Linked DNA regions of Caenorhabditis elegans. The protein of the gene in region 3 purifies or fractionates together with the protein of the main gene of each other region. This does not show direct contact. Each region holds a gene or a part of one and is shown on either strand. Other genes may lie near its edges.

Evidence for each region.
Region 1: the proteins of daf-2 (region 3) and shc-1 purify together in Caenorhabditis elegans (affinity purification with western blotting, with the first as the bait; one study listed by BioGRID). This does not show direct contact.
Region 2: the proteins of daf-2 (region 3) and casy-1 purify together in Caenorhabditis elegans (co-purification; one study listed by BioGRID). This does not show direct contact.

What each region holds. Positions count from the first base shown.
Region 1 is NC_003279.8:967,325-976,083, forward strand, and holds shc-1 (SHC-transforming protein homolog 1), read right to left. Parts: upstream 5,810-8,759; 5' UTR 5,729-5,809; coding exon 5,663-5,728; intron 5,614-5,662; coding exon 5,543-5,613; exon of another isoform or gene 5,397-5,542; coding exon 5,324-5,396; intron 4,763-5,323; exon of another isoform or gene 4,627-4,762; coding exon 4,136-4,626; intron 2,660-4,135; coding exon 2,569-2,659; intron 2,515-2,568; coding exon 2,356-2,514; 3' UTR 2,009-2,355; coding exon of another isoform or gene 1,913-2,008; 3' UTR 1,764-1,912; downstream 1-1,763. Other genes in the region: cutl-20 (ZP domain-containing protein), read right to left, coding at 911-993, 1,039-1,164, 1,913-2,008. UniProt on the Caenorhabditis elegans protein: Scaffold protein which plays an important role in the activation of the JNK pathway composed of mlk-1, mek-1 and kgb-1; by bringing together mek-1 and mlk-1, promotes mlk-1-mediated phosphorylation and activation of mek-1 which in turn phosphorylates kgb-1.
Region 2 is NC_003280.10:5,952,421-5,959,558, forward strand, and holds the start of casy-1 (Secreted calsyntenin-1), read right to left. Parts: upstream 4,264-7,138; 5' UTR 4,225-4,263; coding exon 4,149-4,224; intron 4,096-4,148; coding exon 3,991-4,095; intron 3,305-3,990; coding exon 3,201-3,304; intron 2,977-3,200; coding exon 2,085-2,976; intron 2,040-2,084; coding exon 1,245-2,039; intron 1,195-1,244; coding exon 1,046-1,194; intron 990-1,045; coding exon 828-989; intron 1-827. UniProt on the Caenorhabditis elegans protein: Cell adhesion molecule involved in associative learning and memory.
Region 3 is NC_003281.10:3,036,536-3,043,257, forward strand, and holds the start of daf-2 (Insulin-like receptor subunit beta), read right to left. Parts: upstream 4,312-6,722; 5' UTR 4,247-4,311; intron 1,009-4,246; exon of another isoform or gene 1-1,008. Other genes in the region: cutl-25 (ZP domain-containing protein), read right to left, coding at 6,191-6,399. UniProt on the Caenorhabditis elegans protein: Insulin receptor-like tyrosine kinase which regulates metabolism, controls longevity and prevents developmental arrest at the dauer stage.

The DNA of each region.
Region 1 (8,759 bases), on a different chromosome or scaffold from region 3:
TCCCTCATAAATTGAAATGGAAGAGGTTGCCAAACTAGGCCATTTTGGCTCGGCCATATCTGGGGTAGATTTACGGCGCGTTGCGTGTCGCGTCGCGGCTCGATTTTAGTTGTAAAACTAAATGTAGTTGGCCGTGTGGAGTACACGACTTTCCCACGCGTTGCCCGACGGGCGATTGCCAATGGAGCGCGAGAATCTCAATGAGGAAGGCCATGGCGCGCCAGAACCCCATGATTTTTAGGGTATTTCGAGGTTGGCAAATATTCTGGAATCTTTTTGCAAAATGTTTTTTTTTTTTTGAAAAAAAAATTCCAAAAAATATCCTGATCGATGAAAATTGTTGGGTGAAAAAAGTTGCAGATTTTAGGAGAAATTTGAGAAATTAGAAAAATTAGAAATTAGGAGAAATCAGAAAATTTCCAAACTGCTTTCAGAATACTTGTATATATTGAAATAGCCTAAAAATCATGAAATTTTTCAAAAATCTCTAAACTAGCCTCCAAATTTGGTAGTAAAAATTCACTGGCAGCAACTTCAGAGCGAGATTTTTCTAGTTTAAAGTGCTCGTATGTCGCTGAATTTTTTGTAGGTACCTATTTGAAAGCTCTTTTTTCAAAATTCAAAAATTTAATTTTCAAGTTTAAATTTTGAGTAGCGCCAGTGGGGGATTTTGTCTAAATACACTTATTATGATCCAAAACTACCTGAGTAATTGCCACTTTTTGACAGTAAATAAAACATTTACAAAAAAAAAAAGTTTTATTATGATATTCGGTCACTTTGGGACCAAATGAATGGTTTTTCATAATTTCCCCACTGGCGCTACTCCACCTTTAAAACTGAGCGGAAATACTTTCCTTGTGAGCATAGCGGCAAAAAACCTAGTACCACATGGCAAAAAAAAACCCACTCATTGTTAGCCATGACAACTTCGATCTCATTCTCCAAATTGCCTTCTCCGTTCTCCTTGGTCGAGCAGCCAGTCAGCGGAATCTAAGCAAATAATGCCCAAAAATTCAATACATTCAATAGGCAAACCTTCAACTGATATTTGGTGTCCGATTGAAGCGTGCCATTTGCATAGATACACTTTGGATGGCCCGCGCGACTTTGTATCGTGCCACGGAAGTTTTCGTCAAACTTGATTTTCAATAGGAAATCTGTCTGCAATATTGAAGACGTTTTTTTCCTTTTGGGTGGTGACCTTCAAGGTTTTGGCCTGGGTTTTTAATCTTCCATTAAATGCCCTTCAAATTCGCTTTTTCGAGAGTTTAAGAGAGTTTCTAGGCCGAGGAACTTCTTGCAGCCAAATTTCTAAACTATTGTGTTTTTGCCAAAAACAATGAAACATTTTAGGTCATTTGTGACGTCATATTTTTTCCATGCAACTTTTTATTGGCTCCACACATCTTCCAAAAAGCCTAAGCCTGAGCCTAATCCAATGTCTAAGCTTAAGCCTAAGGTTCAGCCTAAGCCTACGCCTAAGCCCAAACCAAAGCCTAAGCCTAAGCCTAAGCTCAAGCCTAAGCCTAAGCCTAAAAAAAACCGGAAAATCCTAAGCCTAAATAGCGTCAGTAGCAAGCTAACGCTCGCCACTGACGCCAAACCTAAGTCTCGGCTTAAGCCAAAGCCTAAGCCTAAGCCTAAACCCATGATTAAGCCCAATCCTAAGCCTACGCCTAAGCTTGAACCTAAGCCTAAGCCTAAGCCTAAGCCTAAACCCAAGCCTAAAATTTCTAGGCCACCACTAATATTTTCAAAACTCGATTCTCAAATACTTCATTTTTTCAGGATATGAAAGTAGGACAGAAATGGGCAGGGTATATGGTATGGAGCAAATATCACAAGATGGCAGAAACATAGATACGGGGTGGGAGTGTTGGACTAGGTGACTTTTCTAGGCCATCCCTACCTTATCACACGCAATAGAAGTGTCCACAATGGCCACCGATCGAATCAGCGGTGGCAGCACCACAACCACCGACCAAATGATCCAGTGCAGAATCATAAATTTGTGGAGGGAAAAATCGATAACAGTAGTGAGGGTAATAGTAGTAATAATACAAATATATATGGAAAAATGAATACAAAAAGATGTGTGCGCTGGTTGGGGTGGTGGCGTAAGAATACAGGTGGGTGGGGGGTATAATTGGAGCGTGGCCGAGGAGGAGAATCGCAAAAAAAAGAAGGAAAGAAAGAGGATAGTAATGACATGTTACGGTAGAAGGACAACTACCTAATTATATGAAAGAGGGGGGGGGGGCGACGAGAAGAGGAAAAAGTCTTACGCAATTTGCTACTCGACTTTCAATTTCTGCTAGAAATCGAAAAAAAAATAGGAAACAAATTCCGACTCTATTCGATATCATCACTTCCGGGGCACGGCACAGGTCGGATCAGATTCAACGACGTCTCGCGATCCCGACCCTCTGATCTTACGGCCATCCCATTGTTCACATGATAGTCGATGAGCTCGGAGATGTTGCTGAACGTGCGATCGCGGGTTCGGACTCTCTGGAATTTTGAGAGGTTTGAAGGTTTGGCGGGGGGGGGGGGGGAGGGTCTTACGTTGTGATTGTCCAGTAGGATGAGATGTTTGTGCTCGTTTTCAGCGGTTCGGCCACTCAGCACGTACTTGCCGGGCGTGTGGTCGCTTTGTCTGCAAGGAACTGGACAAGTTTGAGCGGCCGACAGCTTGCGGGTCTTTTTTTAGAGAAGGGGGACTGTGAGGTGTCCGCTGCTTCAGACAATCTTAGCATCATGCAAACCTTGCATCTTTTGTATTTCAGGAAAAAAAACGCAGAATTTTTTTTGAACAAAAATTTCAGCCTAAAACAAAAATCTAAAAAAATTTTGGGAGGATGAACTTATTATACCAAATTTTTCCCTGGTCTTTCAAGAATTATTTAAAGTCCCGTGGCTTCTGAACATATTATCAAACAAATTACAGATATGAAATGTGACTGAAGCTTTAAGTCAGAAATATATAAAAAAAGGATTTTTCATACTATTTTTTCAGTCAAATTTGATTTTTTTAGACTTTCAGATTTTTCTACGAAGTCTGTTAAAATAGGCTTATATTAAAAAGCTATCCGATTTACTATTAGTAAAAAATTATAGCGACCGACATCTCGCAGGTTGTTAAAGAAAGGTGCATTGACCGGCTCACGCAACTTTGGCAGTTTATATCTCGGCTGGTTTTGGTTTTATTTAAAAAATTTCAATTGACGAAATATTTATCACTTTTTCTACTAAAAGTTTGCAGTTGAACACTTTTTGCTAGCAGCGATATTAACCGAGATATTAGCGGAAAAAGTTACATGAGAAACATGGTGCATCGACAAGAAATATCTCACAAAACTTTGGCAGGTTATATCTCGGCTGGTTGTGGTTTTATTAAAAAATTGTTAATTAACAAAATGTTTATCCTTTTTTCTACTACAACTTTGCAGTTCAACACTTTTTGCTAGCAGCGATATAAACTGAGATATGATTGGAAAAAGTTACATGAGAAACATGGTGCATCGACAAGAAATATCTCACAAAACTTTGGCAGGTTATATCTCGGCTGGTTGTGGTTTTATTGAAAAATTGTTAATTGACAAAATATTTATCCTTTTTTCTTCTACAACTTTGCAGATGAACACTTTTTGCTAGCAGCGATATAAACCGAGATATGATTGGAAAAAGTTACATGGAAGACATGATGCATTGATCAGCTATCATAGCTCATATTTTACTTATCTCAGGTTTTACCAAAAAATTGCCAATTATTAAAACATTAGCCTTTTTCTTCGAAAATCAAATTTTGCCCGAATTGCCGAAAATATAGATTTGATATTTTTTTGTAGATTTAGGAGCCTAAACATTTTTTAATTTTTTAAGTATTGACCGTTTGCTTTTAAAAATGACTAATCGAATACTGAAAACACAGTTAACTTTTTTTTCAATTTTCGAATTATAATTAGGTTTGAAAATTGCCGAAAATGTCGGCATTCAGTTGGAATTTTGGCAATTGCCGAAAATTTCCGATTCCCACGCGCCCCTGGTGTGAACCTAGTGAGCATGAAGCCAAACGTTTTAGAAATTCAGCAAAATTCTAGCTTTTTTCTATAAAAAATCTAAAAAACCTTACCGAACCAAAAAATCGCCTTCCGTCTTCAACAAAGCCTGTGCATCCTCTCTGGATAAATTTCCATGATACCAAACTTTCCCCACAACATCCTCAGTTACAGTAGGTGCTCGGCAATTCGACACAAATGACTGTCGATGCAGGGAACTTCGATGTCTCATCGGCGGCGCCGGCACCGTAAATCCATCGTTAGAAGTTGAAGCATTCGCCTGTGCATCAAAAGTGTTCACATTGATCGCAGTGGTAAGGACGTCGATGAGCTTGTGCACATCCTCGATGAACACCACGTGGCATCGACGATCCGTTCCATCCTTGTTTTTTGCAATGTAGCCGAACATTAGCTCCGTGTCCGTACCCTTTTGGCCTTGGGCTCCGAATGAGAAGAATGAGAAGGGATGACGTTGAATTAGACGACTTTGTTTTATGATTTTGATCATTTTCGAGGAAATGTTGATGTCTACGGGGAAGTTTTCTTTTTTCACTTCACCGATTACCTGAAAATAAGGATGGTTTACCTGGGCTTTTTCATCGACCCGTGAAGTGTCGGCTGCAATAATTTTAGTCGAAATTAGTGATAATAACTTTTCTATGAATAGCGGCTGACATCATTTAGCGCGATTTTTGATCGACCTGTAAGATGTCGGTTGCTTTAGTACATTCTATAGTGGCAGGCTTTTGGCTGAATTTTACTGGATATATAAGCTATCAAAATTTGAGCATGTCGATGCACCATGTAATTATCTCAGTTTATTTCGCTGCTATCAAAAAGTGTTAAAATGCAAAGTTGTAGTAGAAAAAACGATAAATATTTTGTCAATTGACACTTTTTCAAAAAAAAACCAAAACCAGCAGAGATATAAGTAGTCAAAGTTGAGTCAGATATTTCCAGTCGATGCACCATGTAACCTTTCTCTAATAACCTGTGAGATGTCGGTTGCTATAATTTTTTAGTCATTAATTTGGACAGCTTGTTAATTTGAAATAATTCTTGATGATATCGTAGCGCGGCCGACATTTCACGGGTCCTTTTTTTTAAACATTTTGCAAAGCTGGTCATGCATTTTTGGTAACACTTAATATCAAATTAATGAGAAAATGTTTTGTAAATTTTTACCATTAGCCATGCCCAGAAAATGGCAAGTTTTTTATTTTATTTTCTTTTGTTTTTTTAATTCACAAAAAAAAACTCACCCTACTAACAACTGGATTGATTTCTCGAGCCGCAGTCACGCCAACAGTAGCTGCAACGTGTTGTATACATTCTCTGAAAATTGAACAGTTACTTTATTACGTAGATTTTTTATATATTTGAGCTTGCAGATGTTACCTGCCTTCATGCCTGCCTACCGCCTGATTTCTAAATTTTTGAATAAGATTTTTTTTTGATTTTAAGCCATAAGAAAAACTAACGAAACAACTTGAACTCTCATCTCGGAAACCATCACGTTAATTGACTCGACTACTGGAACACTTCCGAGGTACTGAAAGACAATTTTATATTTTCGGGGAAAAAACTAATAAAAAACTCACAGTAGCCGACAGAGAAACCCCGCTGCTCCGCAGCTCCTCTGCAAATGAGGGCTCCACGTTGAGCATCGCCGCAAGTTGATTTTTCGACGGAATTTTTGATTATTTTTAGAAAAAATCTAACTCGAAATTCGTTACAACCGAAATTTTGCAAGATTGAGTGAATGAGGAATGACCGGGAGAGAAACGGAGACGCAGGCGGTGAGCGGAGTGGGAGAGAGAGCGCGCGAGACGGAGAGGCGCAGGCAGTGGTAGGGAGGAGACAGGGAAAGATTAGATTGGTGTTGACTGGGTGAGTCAGCATTCTAATAAGTTAAGTTGACTCATAACTTTGTTTTTTGATCAGAGGGGGGGGGGGGGGGCCGTGGCCTAGAAATATCATTGCCTACTTATTACGTCACTAATGGTCTAGGAAACCTTGATAGCTTTTTTGGAGAAGATATGACGTCATTGGTGGACTAGAAATCTTATTTTAGTTCTGGAAGAGAAATATTTTGACCGTGGAAGACAAATTAATGATGTGACCGGTGGCCTAGAAGTTTCAAATTATACCTGGGGAAATAAATGACGCCACTGGTGGCCTAGAAAACTTAAACTATGCCTGAAGACGTCACCGGTGACCTAGAAATTTAATTCTGGCGACGTCATAGAAATTTGAATTTTGATGAGAAATATAATTTTATTGGTTTTCTGAAAATTGAATTTTATTGATTTTTTGGCAACCGGGAAATTGGAAAATTTAATAAATTGAACAAATGCAATAAAATAAGCAGTTTTTCAACAGTCATTACTTTTTTCCGTGAACCGTTTTGATTTTAATTTGTAAATCTAGGTCGGAAAAGTCACACACACCGAGGAGCTAGGCTTCCCTCATCCTCCCTGGATCAGTCGGTAACTGCTTCGACTGGGGAGTGGGAGTGGGAGGGGTGGGATGAGTTCAATTCTTCTGGAATTCCATAATTTTTATTTTTGTTTTTTTGCGCCTACATATACCTGTGAAAATTGGAACTCGACACAAAAACCTCTCTAGCGCGGCTTAAATTTACTTCAATTCTTCCGGAATTCCATAATTTTTATTTTTGTTTTTTTGCGCCTACATATACCTGTGAAAATTGGAACTCGACACAAAAACCTCTCTAGCGCGGCTTAAATTTACTTCAATTCTTCCGGAATTCCATAATTTTTATTTTTGTTTTTTTGCGCCTACATATACCTGTGAAAATTGGAACTCGACACAAAAACCTCTCTAGCGCGGCTTAAATTTACTTTCCTGTCCCAAAAACTCATCTATAATATTTTTAAAAAATCTAGAATCCAAATCTATCAGATTTTTTTGAATTTTTGATTTTTTTCACATCGAGATTCGGAATCAGCGGAAAATTTGGAGTCAATTAAAAATATTTTCCAGATTTCGATACTCCACATTTAAAGGAGATCACCTGAAACGCCAGAATATGATACTTCATACTCTCCATCTTCTCGCTTTTGAAAATAATCAAAAAAAATAGTCGCCGTATTTATTGATATAGAAAAAATACCAACAAAATTGTAACTATTGATTAGCCATACAGGGTCTTTAAAGTCAACATTCATAGTGGGAGCTGGAAATAAAAATATATAATAACTTGTTAAAAGAATTTATTGTGGAGTTATAACACCTATAGACAATTAAAATCACCTGCTGCCTAAAGAGTATTTACCAGAAGCAAAGGTTTTCTGAATTTAGTGGAGTTTGTCCATTTACTTTTTTGCATGTTATTGAATTGAAATGATACATAGTGAAACTAGAGGTAAAATTATTTACTAGGTTTAGGCTTAGGCTCAGGATTAGGCTTAAGCTTAGGCTTAGTTTTAGGTTTAAGCTTAGGCTTAGAATTACCGATAACTGATAACTTTTGCAAATTTAGTTTCTGTAATATCGGCAATAGCCAAAATTGCCGGAAATTTCTGCGATTCGAATAAATAAATTGAAATAAAAATTAGTTCCTAAGATACATGTTATCTTTTTGCAGGAAAGTAGTAAACTCATGAAATGAGAAATTGCGATGAGGAAGGAAACATTCCTATGGTTCCTTAGACAATTTCTCACCTTACATTAGTATATAATATATAAATGATGAATTTGACTTTTTGAAATTCTCTTCAATAAATACATTTAGTTGTTTTTTTTTTAATGAGTAAAGTTGCAGAGTGTGGAATTTGCTATGAGGAATATGGTGAATATTGTTGGAAATTTTTCTGAAAGTTTTCATTTTTTTTGGAAATTTAGAGAGTTGGGTGTAATTACTGAAAATTATGTTTTAAAAAAATTATTTTAATGATTTTTCAAATTTTACAAAAAACTCATTTTTAAATCATTAGAGGTGAAGTAGCGCCAGTGGGAAGATTGTTAAGATCCACTCCTTTAATCCGAAAAGTACCGAATATCATAATAAAACTTTTCAAAAGTTTTTAGAAACTTTTTTATTTACTGTCAAAAAGTGACAACCACTCAGTTTTTGCCACTCATAATTTTGGAAGTCGACCAAAAAAAAAATTTGTTTTCCTACATTTTTTATACTTCAATTTTGTTTTAATTATTTGTATTGAAAAATTGTAGGGGTCGAAACATGCGACAATCCTGTCAGTTTTCAAAAATCTCTACTTACAAAATATAGGACACGCTCCAAAAATGGATGTTTTTACAGACAACGCCATCCGAATCCCTTGCATCGGCACATGCGGTCATACGTTATGTGACAGTTGTCGTGAGAAAATTAGAGATAAAAAATGTCCTCAGTGTAATCAGAAAGGCGCATTTGTTGTGAAAAATGTGAATAAACAATTTTGGGATTTAATTGTTTTTTCGCAATTTTTAAAACCCCAGGAAGTGGAAGTTGAGGAGACTGAAGAGGTTGGTTAGAACTTTTTTTTTGGATTTTTCGGTATTTCCGGGAGGTTATCCTTTGGGCCTAAAACTAGGCCTAAGAGTAGGCCTAAGCCTAAGCCTAAAACTAAGCCTTAGCCTAAAACTAAGCATGAGCCTGAGCCTAAGCCTAAGTCAAGCCTAAGCCTAAGTCTGCTGCTATCAAAAAGTGTTAAAATGCAAAGTTGTAGTAGA
Region 2 (7,138 bases), on a different chromosome or scaffold from region 3:
GAGTTCCGGTAAGACTCGTGATCTTATCCGGAGAGCAGCAACTATGTATGAGTGTGGGCGAGGAAAACGAGAAGATTATCGAGACCCTTTTACATGAGATTATAGCTAATTTTTTACGCAGTTTTTAATTTTTCAGGAGGATTATGTCATAGTGCCAAGAACTTAAAGGTGGAGTAGCTATAAAATAGTCTGAAGTTCTTGAAAAAAAAATTGCGGAGCGAATCGCTGATTGGTGTTGCAGTTTTCATTTTGGATTTAACTCAAACATGGAGATTAATTATTTTTTTAATGTCAAATTTCTGAATTTAGAGTTTATTTTGTCAATTTAAAGCAATATTCTCAATCACGCTACTCCGTTTTTAAGAATCAGAATACAAAAGGAACTCGGAAACAACTATTTAGATATCAACAAATATTCTAAACTATAGACATGAAAAAAGGACGATCCAAGTGCGTATTGCACAAATGATGGCAATTTCTAAATGGAAGACACAAATTTTCCTTCTATCCATCTCACTCTAAAACCCATTTTGAGGCGATGAAAACAGACGGGGCGCTCTCTCAAATCATTATATGCTGCTGAGAAGAGCAAGGACATAAATGGATTTTGTACATAATGTGAAAAAGATTTCTTCTGAGAATGAATGAATGAGTAATTACAGTGGAATGTGAGAAGAGATTCTCGGTTTCTTGAGCCCTTAAGTTTTTATAGGATCTTGAGCAATGAAACTAGAAATTGATAGACTTAGAATAGTTGAGCTCCAAACTTTCAACGCCGTAAGACATAATGTGAGATAGAAAAAACTTGAAGATCCATAAAAACTAACCGTGACAAACAACTGATTGCTGAGTACTCGGCCCTTGAGCATGGCACACTGGACGGTGTAGACACGTTTGGCGTATGATTCTGGTCGAGTGTTGAAATAATGAACCTTCGAGAGCACTTCCTTGTACCCTTGAGCGCTTTCCTCTCCGCGAAGAAGGATGCCCTGAAGAGCAGGAAATTAGAAGATTGAAATCAGATTTGAATCTGTCTGGGACTTACGTCTTTGTCATGCTCAAACTCAATGTTAAGAGCTGCAATGAGTGAAGCCGGTGATGAGAAGTACTCTACATCCATATCACGTGCTGGTTGCAAATGCATCTTACAGTAATCAATCTTGTGGGATTGGGTGACATCTTCGAGTTCTCCGTCTGAAAATGAAATTCCGAAATGTTTCTTATTATTTGCATTTAAAACTTACCAGCATTGTTTTGGCTGATGGTTATGGTGAGATCTGGAACCATAGCTTGTCCAACCTTAACCATGTGTTGATTACTTTTGAGTTGAGACGAAGCAGAGATTGAAAGAGTTGGTTCAGCGGCTTGTTGAACAAAAACGTATCCTTTGCTGGATGGTAGCTTCATCTTCTTGTCATCTTGTTTGCAAGTAACCTCAGTCTCAACAAGGAAAACACGGTGTCCTGGAGCTGGTTTCTCTTGAGTGTTAACATAGGCAACTCTCTTGAGCATTTGACCAATTTGCTTTGATGTTTCAGCCTTCAATGTAAGAGAGGTTTGATCTGGAGAGAATGTTGCACTTTGGCTTTCAAGAAGCTCATCAACTCCGGTGAACTGAAGTTGTTCTGGGCAAGTATGAGCGCATTTTATTGCACGTTCACTTTCAACAGCTCCAGAGAGAAGATAAAGAGAGGAAAGTTGTCCACGGAAGAACTGTGCAAGTTTCTGTTGCCGTCCGTGCCAGCACGCTCCTACAACAAGTTTGGTCTTTGTTGCCTTGGTCTTGTGAAGCGGCCAATCGTCGAGGATTTCAGGATTTCGTTCGTCAGCCTTAAAGCTCTTTCCATCGACGATAACATTAACATCATCGATGCCATTGAAGAGAAGTGAATATGAATGCCACTCATTATCGCATACTTCTGGCATTGACCAACGCCATTCAGCAGCACGGAAGTCTGAAGTGGCTCCAGCTTCACGGCGGAGAACAACCTCCAATTTGCAGTGACGAATGTAGACAGAGAAGTGATGACGGTTCATGTCTGAAAACACATATTCACTGGTTGTTTCTAAAAGAGATAACTCACTGAAATCATCACTTTCGCAAAGAATGTTCTGCTTGTTACTTTGCTCGTCCTTAGTTCCTGCAGCATGTTTCATGGAGAAGCTCAATGTGAAGTGATCCGGAATGAGTCCTTGATGATTTTCATCAGAGACAGTCACTCCTCTGGCTCCATCAAACTCAATTCCTTGATCAGCAAGAATCTGATTCTCAGCCGAGCTGGTAAGGGCTTCTTCGTTCAGCAATTTGACAGTAGCAGTTGAAAGTCCACAAGATTGAATTGTCTGATTATCATAGACAGTGTCTCTTGCACAACCTTGAGTAACGTGTCCAGCACGAAGTTCAATGACTGACTGCACACTCTTTGGTTCACAAATTGTTTCCTTTTCACAGAATTCAAGAGATACGTCTGGGAGGAGAAGCTTTGATCCAACTCCTGGAGCATAGTTGACACGCTCATTCATTGCAGTGATTCCTTGAACACATTTCTCATCAACGTGAACAGTGACCAGAGAACTTTTGCTTTTCCTCATTGCGCAGTCAATAGCGACTACAGTGAGAATGTATGATTTTGATTGAGTAAAGTTGAGTGGCTGAGTTGTACGAAGGACTCCATGATTGTTAATGGCGAACGGAAGTTCCTTAAGTCCATTTGTGATCTCATATTCACAGATTTCTCCGTTTGGATGTCCACAGTCTTTGTCAGATGCCTTCAGTACTCCAACTTCCTCAACAACTTTTCCCTCTTCCACGTGGAATGTGTACCAAGGGTTTTCGATTTCTGGAGCATGATTGTTGGTGTCCTTGACACGGATCTTCAGAGACACTCCTTCACTCTTCACATTGTCGTTATCGCATTTCACAGCTTGAACTTGAAGATTGTATTCTGGCTTCTTGCAGTCTAGTGTGGCAGCATCCTGAATAATAAATGTTTGAACTTTAATGGTGACTCATCAAGAATTAATTTTCTTTAGAAATATTGAATAAAGTTTAATGAAAATTCCTTCTAAGAACACATTGATTTTTAAGCTTACAAAACGGTTTTCCACTAATTATCTGATACACACGAATTAAAATATGAATACTGGAATTTTCATTAGATGCCTATTCTCCAAAAATACATTATGACATCATGTCTCACCTTAACTCGAAGTACAGCTGCTCCAGTGTACTTATCAACAACCTGGATGTCGAATGGCACTGGCTCATTGTTCTGTGATGTAAGGAGGTAGTTGCATACTGGCCCTGAAAATTCCCTCAAATTGTATTCGCTTTATTTTTGTTTCAATTTCAAATTGTGGATAGATATTCCAATTTTTCTAGCTTGTCTTTCATTCCATCACCCGTCTTTTTCAATTCATGCTCTCTCGAATCATCGGCTGTCATGTCATGTCATAGTTAATCCCTCTTCTTTTCTCTTTCTTTTCCACGTCAATCCCTTCGTGTTCTACATCGTCGTCGTCGTCGTCGGTGGCTCGTAATCCTGTGTGTGTGTGTATGGAGCCAGGCTGACAACGACAACGATGCTTCATCATCAAAGAGAAAACAGAGAAAATGCGTGAAAAGAAGAAGAAACATGAAAAAAGAAAACGAAACAATTAATGAGAGGCTGCATTGCTTTTTCGATGAGATTTTTGTGCAAATGAGGTGGGCATGTCAGGAAGGAAACACGAGGGAAAAGAAGAAGATTGAGAATGTAAATGCCATGAATACTAATGAGCATGATTATTTAAAGGAAGTAGCTGAATTTTTGTATTTCTCTAATTAGGTTTGTTAGTTTTCACACCTTCAATTAGGAAAAAGGAAAACTATAAAATTTAATTAAAGTTTCTTGTGATCTAACAAGCCGGCTTGATTATAAACATATCTATATGAATCATGATTTTTAATCGTAAGAGCTGAAAACAATTTATTTTAATCTCCCAACTCACCGGTTTCAGAGAGGATTGCAAAATCCGGCACGGTCGAGATAATGTTCTCATCTTCTCGCACGACAGCCACAAGCTCTTCGGCTCCTTGCAGATTGATTATTGGCGCTGAAAATAGATTGGAATTTAAGAACTAACGGCCAATAATCTGTAAGTGTTACCTCGAGCAGCATGGTGATGTTTGGCGTAGGAGACGCCTAGAAGGGCGCCGACAAAAATAAAGTACGCAGTTCGCATATGTGGGTTTGAGTAAGAGAGCCTGGTTGGAATTTGCGTCTGAAAAATGATTGGTTTTGTGTGCGTGAGTAGAGGTCTGCGAGCAGAGAAGGTGAGAAGAAAATAATTGAAGGAATAAGGAAATAACAAAAAGGGCAGAAAAATGAGAAAATGTGTTGAGTGAATGGAGGAAGTAAATGTGGATGTGTTTGGAAAAAAACAGACTAACAGTCTTAGTGGAATGATAAAACTCTAGGCTTTTGGGTATCTGTAGATTTTAAATACCGGAATTTTCAATAAGATAATTGAGTGGAGATTAACCCACCGATCAAAATTCTACGGATTTCGTATTTCTCTGGATTAAAAAAATATTTTTTTGATTTAGATTTAGATTTTTTATTGAAAGAAATTGTGATGATATACAAAACAATGTGTTCAAAAGACGGAACCACATTTTTTCTATCTCTCTCCCTGTCCACCACTACTTCATGCCTCAATCATTTTCCACCCTCACACGTCATTTTTCCGACTTTTTTCTTTTTTGTGAAAATCGTTTCAGCTCTGCAGCTCCTGGCACTGGTCACGCCATAGTTTTCCGGTAAGCCGTCAGGAGCACTAACATTTCGAAATGAAATGGTGGATGGCACGAGCGAGAAAAAAGAAAATGCGGGGAATTTTTCAATTAGGTGTCAAGGAAAGGTTTGTTTTCGGCTGCTTTCTTGAGCTTTTTCTTGAGCAGCGGGTCTTCTCATTCTTATTCGTGCGTCTACTCAACACCGACTATAAATAAATGGCAATATTGAATATGAGAATTCGTTGAAGAGGCATCATTATTTTGATTTAAAACTTCAAAGATCCAGGATTTAGTTTTAAAATGTTTTGGGATTTGGAGTTTGAAACAAAACGAGGGTTGAAATCTAAGAAACTGGAAAAAGTAGAATAAAAAAGAAAAGGAGGAAGAAAGGCAAACGAACAAAATCTGACGTAGATAAATAGCTGTTTTTTCAATGAAAATATGATTGAATTCTAGAAAAAGATTCTAGAAACGAGAAAAAGTGGCTGGAACGGAATGTGAGCCTTGTTGAAGCTGAGAAAGTAGAGCACGAGAGTCAGCATCTGCTCCTCCTACTCATACCATCTAATCTCCTCTTCACATCCGATTATCAGAAAATGAAATATTGAGTGCTGGGGGAAGTTAAGAAAATGAGAAACCAGAGAAAACATTGAGCTGGTTGTCATGGTTTCATGTGGGGAGCTCAGTCGGCAGAGTGAAGTGAGGCACGAAGAAAAAAAACGCCAAAAGAAATCTGAGAATAAGCAAAAGAATGCGAAGAGACAGAAGTTCTTCTTATTCTTCTTTCTTCAAGCATAACATGTGTGGTTTGAATTGAAAATTAGGTAGAAAAAGGGAAGAACCGAACATGCAAAAATCAAGGGTTGAAAAAGGGAGGCAAGAAGGGGAACAAGAAGAAGAAGAAGTTGAGAGTTGTGAAGACAAGCATGCATGTGTCAATAGAGGTGGAGCATTCGAAAGACGAGGCAAACGGAAGAGGAAGGACGCCGCCGCGAAGGGGACGGAGTACGACGAATAAGTCAAATGCTTACAAGATAAAAGGATGATGATCATGATTATGAGTCAACGAGGTCAATCATGTCAAATGGAATATTGATTGATTGAAACAGTCCCAGAATTGGTGTAAAGAAATTGGTGTAACAAGTTAGAATTTAACAACAAAGATGATCAGCACTAGTTCGTATGGATATGCGATACATTTATTTTACCAAGCAACAAAAAACATGAATTCTTGGATTAAAAAATAAGAAATTTTGAAAATATCCAATAAACTTGTATGTGGATTTTTGGTTTTTTTTAGCAAGACATTCTTGGAAAGAACCCAAAAATTCTATGAAATTCGCATTCCTGCTATTAGGTTTAAACAAAAGTTATATTTTTAGTCGATTCAGAGGAAGTACGGTATACGAAAAAGGAGTTTCTAAGATAATTTAATTCATTCTTACTACATTATTTAAAGTATCCGAAAATAGATCAATCTTCAATATTTTCAATTTACAGCTGCTTCAGACTTTTTTTTGTAAATTGTTGTTATCATGGAATGAACTTTTGGGATTTTTGCATTGTTCGCAAATACATATCCGGTAGTAATATTAAACAGTTCCTCGAATTCGAAAACGAAAACAGGTTGACATCCGATATTTTGGGAGGAACAAGAGAATACTGGGAAGGCTATGGAAAGAGAGGGGCACACAATAAATATAATTCCTTATTCATAATTCATCATCTGACACAGCCAATAGCCAAAACACGGTTCCAGTGTATTACCTGATCATGTGGAAAAAGAGGTTTATATGTATTTGAAGAATTTGGCCAGAATGGATAAGATTTCAAGAAAAAAGAAAAAAAAACGAAGAAAAAGACGAAAGCGAAGGAAGTCATAAATGTATCCGTTTAACGGACGATGGCCAGAAGACACGGGAGCGCCGTGCTCTCGTTAGTTTTTACGAGCAGTTTTTTAGTAATTCGATTATCGGATTATGGTTGTGGTGGGTGTGTGGGTAGAAAATTAATAGCCATTGGAATAGAAAAAGTGCGAAGTGTCAAAAACAGATGACAATGATCCGACTGGTTTTTGAGAAGCATCAAGAGGGTATTGATGCAAAACGAAGTGGCGAGGAGTTCTGGAGAAAAATATAGGTTTTTAAAAAATTCTGTTGAAAAATGAGAATGTGAGGTAAAGATATTGATAATCAAGTGATTTACAAAATAAATTCAAAATGTTTCCGGAAGTCGAGACCGGAATTTGGGGGATAATAAAATATTCGAGAAGGAAAATAAAATGCCAAAAAATGTGAAAAATGAAATCCTCGTGAGATCGGATTACGAGCATATTTCCATGGTTACGTGAAAAAAGGAACA
Region 3 (6,722 bases):
GTATTTTAATACATTAATTTTTCAGCAATTTCAAATTATCCAGCACTACTTGAATAGCCCCATAAATTTTTAGAATGCGTATTGCACAATATATTTGACGCGCAAAATATATCGTAGCGCGAAAACTACAGTAACTCTTTAAAATACTACTGTAGTGCTTATGTCAATTTACGGGCTCTTTTTAATTTATTTCAAAATCGAGAGCCCGGTAAATCGACACAAGCATTACTGTAATCTTCCAAAGAATTACTGTAGTTTTCGCATCGAGATATCTTGCGCGTCAAATATGTTGTGTAATACGCATTCTAGGAATTTTTTGTTCCCGTAATAGTTATTTCTAATAAGAATATGCCCTAAAATTCCCGGAAATTTTAAATCGCATTTCGAATTTTGACAATTTACGAATAAAAAGAGGGGCATTGAATTTATCTTTTTGCGAAATCATGCGAAATCAGTTGAGAACTCTGCGCCTCTTCTCCTGCATTTTTTGTAGATCTACGTAGATCAAACCGAAATGAGGACACTACATGAGCTATGATGCATTTTGCAGCCTCCGCTATTCTTAAATTGGCAAATTTACCGAGTTTGCCGAGCACGGCAAATTTCAAACATGTGGGTTTGCCGAATATGCCGCCTGGTTGAGATCATGAACATTGCCGAGAAATAACGAGAGCCCAGAAGTGGGTGGCGCTTACATAAGCTCCGCCCATTTAAAGGCTAAAAATTCTCATTTTACTTTGAGCTTTTCCTCAATTCTTCATGATTTTCAGTGCCATTTTTGAGCCAAAAAATCTACAGAAAAAGTGCAAAATGATGGTGCCCGGTGCCTCTACACCAAGAGAGACCACACGTGCAGAAAACCGAGAGAGAGAGAGAGAGAGAGAGAGAGAGAGAGAGAGAGAGTAGAGACACAGCGTATTTCAACTGGAAACTGACACCGAGATGCACCAAAGGACACCGAAATGGAGGTCAGCTGAGACGAAGAGGAGGAGGACGAGGCGGGAAAAAAACCAACTGAGAGGAATACGAAATGTGTGTGTGTGTGTGTGATGTGATGTGATGAACATGTTTCTCAACGTAAACAACGAGAATCTGATAGATTGAACAAAAATAGGAAAAAAAAAAGAATGGTGTTAGGTTTCGCGAGCGCGCGGGAAATTCGAATTTTTGGAAAAAAAAAATGTTTCTCTCAAATTTCTTAGAATTTTCAAATTTTCAGGAATTTTTGAAACTGGGCACTTTTCGATAGTTTTTTAAAAAATTTTCAGATTAGGCAGTATTTGCCGGAGTTGGTAGAAAGATTTCTGGCAAAGTCGGCAATTTGCTGGAATTGAAATTTCCGGCAAAATCGGCAATTTGCCATTTTTCAAATTTTCGGAAAATTTGGCATTTGCCCAAATTGAAAAATTTTAAATTTTCGGCAAATCGGAAAATTGCCGGAATTGAAAATTTCCAGAAAATCGGCAAATTGCAGAAATTGAAAATTTCCGGCAAATCGGCAAATTGCGGGAATTGAAAATTTCCAGCAAATCGGCAATTTGCCGGAATTGAAAATTTCTGGCAAATCGGCAATTTGCCGGAATTAAAAATTTCCAGAAAATCGGCAAATTGCCGGAATTGAAAATTTCCAGAAAATCGGCAAATTGTCGGAATTGAAATTTCCGGCAAACTGGCAATTTCCCGAAACTGAAAATTTCCGGCAAACAGCAAAGTCGGCAATTTGCGGTTTTCCAAATTTTTGGCAAATTCTGCAAACCGGCAACTAGTCGATTTGCCGGAAAAACGGCAACTGCCGAAAGTTTCGGTAAATTGTGGGTTTGCGTAATTTAAAAAATCCCCTCAAAAAATCCGGCGAATTGATATCCGGCAAAATTGCCGGAATTGAAAATTTCCGGCAAATCGGCAAATTGCCGGAATTGAAAATTTCCAGCAAATCGGCAATTTGCCGGAATTGAAAATTTCCAGAAAATCGGCAATTTGCCAAAAATCGGCGTTCAAAAACTGACAAAAAATTCAGAATAAATTGCGATTTTTTCAAAGAAAAACCAAATTTTGACCAATAAAAAAATTCTGAACACTGTCAATTCCATATCATGTAATAAAACAACGAAAAAAAATGCATCACATGACCTAATCTTTGTCATTTTTCATGAAATCGTTGATTTTTGGTCATTTTAGAGGTGTTTTTGGTCGAAAAAATCAAAATTTTTGCCAGATTTTGAATAGATTTCATGAAAAAAAACGATTTTTATAGAGGATTTGGTGTCAAAAAATTGTGGAAATTATTAGATTTGGGGAATAAAAATCCAATTTTTTTCAGATAAAAAATTAAAATCTAAAGCGAAAAAATGGCCAAAAAATGGCCCAAAAAATCTACATTTTTGCCCATTTTTCTGGAGTTTTCCCAGAATTTTTTCGGTTTTTGGGGTTAAATTTCCGGGAAAACATAATTTTTTTAATTTTTTAATTATATTTTCGGAATTTTACCGCCAAAAACTCATTTTTAATGGCAAAAAAACATAGAAAAATGGTTCAATCAATTGAAAATTTCAATTTTGTCCAGAATTCAATTTATATTTAATTAATATCCAATTTTTCACATTTTGGTAGTTTATTTACCATTTTTTTTTTGATTTTGGCCACAAAATGTACCTAAATTAACAAAAAAAAGTTGGTAAAACTGGAGATTTTAGTGAAATCTGGGGGATTTTCCGGGATTTTTTTTTCGGTTTTTGGGGTTAAAATTCCGGAAAAAACTCAATTTTTTCAGTTTTTTATCGAATTTTCGGCATTTTAACGTCGAAAAACTCAATTTTAATGGCAAAAAAACATAGAAAAAAGAACGAAGGGTCAATTCAAATGTTTTCGCGTTTCGTTTTTTGATCTTTGAGTTGTTGTTGTTGTACCCCATCCGCCGCCGTTTTTTTTTTCAAATTTATTTTTTTCCCGCCAAAAAAACCTAAAAATCAATAATTTAAACTATAAAATAGCAAATTATTACGATTTTTAATTGAAAAATTGAGCAAAAAATTGACATTTTTTGTAAAATAAACACAAAAAAACCAATTCCCACGTGGCACAGATTGTTTGCTCATCGTTTGTCGGTGTACTTTTTGGAAAATATTTATTTTTAAGGGGGTATTTCTGATTGAAAGAGCGAAAAAAAGCGAAAAATGAGTGAAAATTTGGAAGAAATCGAAGAAAATTGGGCTAAAATTCGATTTTTTTCGCAAAAATTTGATTTTTGAGCCAATTTTTTGTAATTTTTTGTATTTTTTTTCACCAAATTTTGCTGAATTTTACTTGAAATTTTAGAATTTTGGATTATAAAATCCAAAATTTTTCGATATTTTTTGCAATTTACTGGTCAAAATTGCGGAAAAATGGTTCAGAAATTGGCGAAAATGGGAATTTTCATCAATTTTAAAGCGATTTTTGGTTATTTTTTGAGATTTTCCCTAAAAATCTCCAAAATTCTGCCTAAAACATCAGAAAATTCGTTATTTTTATTGCTAAATTGCTGCAAATGGCCCAGAGATTGACCGAAGTGTGATTTTTTAAATAAATTTTTATCAATTTTTATCAATTTTAAAGCGAAAAAACCAATTTTCACATTAATTTTGTTGGTTTTTAACGAAATTTTTGGGATTTTCTCGATTTTTTGTGTGATTTCGCTAAAAATTGTGTGTATTTTTAAAACAAAATCGCTTAAAATCGATATTTTCAAGTAATTTTTTCAATTTTTAATTGCTTTTTTGAGCAAATTTTGTGGTTTTGTCTGTTGAAATCTTTTAAAAACCTTATTTTTCTCGATTTTTTCCTAGATTTTCCACTTTTTTTCACGAAAAACTTCGAATATCCGTTATTTTTTCACAAAGGCAGCCTAAAAGTGCATTGAAAAGACCTTGAAAATGGTCAAAAATGACGTGAAAAGATCCAATTGGCACCGTGCCAAGACTATTGCAACAAATTCGGCGTAATTTGAATTGGATAAATGGAATTTTACGGGCGGAAATTGGGAAAAACTGGAAAATGACGGGAAAATCGTTCTGTGAGCGAAGAATCAGATGGTTTAGCAGATTTTTAAGGTTAAATTTGATAATTTAGACAAAAAAAAAGACTAAAATCGGCTGAGAAATGAAGAAAATAGCAAAAAATCGGTGAAAAATCAAAAAACCCGCCTGAATCTCCCTATTTTTACGATTTTTGTGGGAATTTTAGTGGAAAAAAAGAGAAAATTACTTACTTTTGTCGAAAAAATGATAAAAATCCGTGAAAAATAGCTGGAATATTGAGAAAAATCGAAGAAAAATGTGAAAAACGAAATTCAAAAATCAAAAACGAAAGCGCGGGTACGCAAACACCGCTGCACACATTCGCAGGTACAGTACCCCGGGAAAATGTTTAAAATCAGTTAAAATGTCGATTTAAAGCTTTTTTTCAATGGAAAAATACAGTTTCTACATTTCATAAATTGAAAACTTGAATTTTCAGTTCAAAACATTGCAAAAATGCACAAAAAACATCTCTAAAAATGGTGAAAACTCTAAATTGACAATGGAGCGCACTTGCTACTACCAATATTTTTTGCAAAAAAAGCGACATTTGACCGGTTTGAACTCTTTTGAACCCCACGAAATTAGGGAAAAACACCAGGAAAACAAGGCCGAAAGAAGTAAACAACATTTCCGCCATGAAAAAGATAGAAAAAGATGAAATCTGATGGTCGTTTATCATCTTTTAATGCACTTTTACTATTTCTACACAGATTTCTATAGAGAGGAGGCAATGTCATTGATAGATATCCTTATCAATTAATCCGCCGATATTATTTGGGAACATTCAAGAAACAAAGAAACTAGGAAAAATAGAGAGAAAAACAAGAATTAGAAGGTTTGGTAAAAAATTTAAAATTCGAGAATGACGTCACTACATAGCTCCTTCGTTTCTTTGCATAACTCTAATTTTTGATCAGAAAAGTGTCAGAAAAGTTTCGCGCCATTTGCGTAATTATTTTTTTTTTCTCAAAATAGCAGGAAAAAGGAGGGAAATTCGACTTTTTCTGCCAGAGGGGAAGAGATTCGAGATTCAGCTTCAATTTCCAGGTCGTATATCTAGGCACGTATCTCAGCGGGAGAAATAGTTACAAAAATGTTGTCAATGAAGTACTTGTAGAGCTCAAAATTTCCTACAATTCACTAGTGGAAAATTTTTTGCTAACACTCTTCCTCAATGAGATAAACGGCCGTAAATGAGGCTCTGCCCTTCGCGCGGTTTCAAACTCAGCACAGCTTGGCGCTTATTTCTCTGCGAGGGAGAAAGTTACAAAAAATTTGTTAACTAGCAATTTGTAGAGCTTCATATTTGCCACAATTCACTAGTGAAAAATTTTTTGCTAGCATCTTTCCTCAATGAGATAAACGGTCGTAAGTAAGGCTCTGCCGCACTGACCTTTCGCACTTTGCACAGCTTGGCGCTCATATCTCTGCGGGGAAAAAAGTTGCCAAAAAGTTGTCAACTAACAACTTGTAGAGCTTAAAATTTTCTACAGATTACTAGTTTGGAATTATTTGCTAGCACCTTTCCTCAATGAGATAAACGGTCGTAAGTAAGGCTCTGCCGCACTAAGCTCTCGCACTCACCACACTTAGACGCGTGTACCTCAGCGAAGAGGAAAGATAATAAAAAGTTGTTAACTAACAACTTGTAGAGCTTAAAATTTGCTATATTTTTGTGTGAAAACAGTTTTTCATAACTCTGCTCCACACAGATATACACACATTTAAAATTAGATTCACAAAGTCTTGCAAACCTAATTTAGCACTCCTAAACTGTAAATCAGCAATTTTTTTTGTTAAAATTTCCACTAAAAAGTTATAACAATATGTTATTCAAAAGAAAGAACGCAAAATAAACTATAGTATAAAAACTAGACAAACATATTTTGATGATATTTTAAAGTCAGAAAAATAGATGACAAAATGGCATCTGGATTTGCTCGGTGAGTCAAAGTGTACTTTAAAAGTTCAACTATACGATTTTCAGGAAATTATGATAAAAACAAGAGCTTTATTTACAGATAATTATTAAAAGTTAGAAAAAAATATATTCAAGGAAACTGAGAATCATGTAGAAGTACCCATACAAGGGAGTAATGAAAATTTGAAAATTGAAAATTTGTTGAACATTGTCAAAATCTACCGCCAAACTTGAAAACTACCGTAGTCGAGATGGTAATCAGGTAGCAAATGACTACTGTAGACAGTCCCAGGTAATAGATGACGTCAGGCATACAGAACTCTGTTTGTGACGTGGCACGGGCTTCTTGCGGGGAACTTTGTTTTTCCACACGGAATCTACCGTTCACGTAGATGATGTCGGTACGGGTGTTGTTGTTATCTGGAAGTTTAATATTGTGTCGATTTACGAGATTTTGTCGATTTACGAGATTTTGTCGATTTACGAGTTTGGGTCGATTTACGACATTGTGTCGATTTACGAAAGTATGTCGATTTACGAGAGTTTGTCGATTTACGACATTGTGTCGATTTACGAAATTATGTCGATTTACGAGAGTTTGTCGATTTACGACTTTGTGTCGATTTACGAGAGTTTGTCGATTTACTAGGACTTTTCGATTTACGAGATTTTGTCAATTTACTAGAACGTGTCGATTTACGAAATTGTGTCGAGTTCCGAGATTTTGTAGATTTACGAGATTT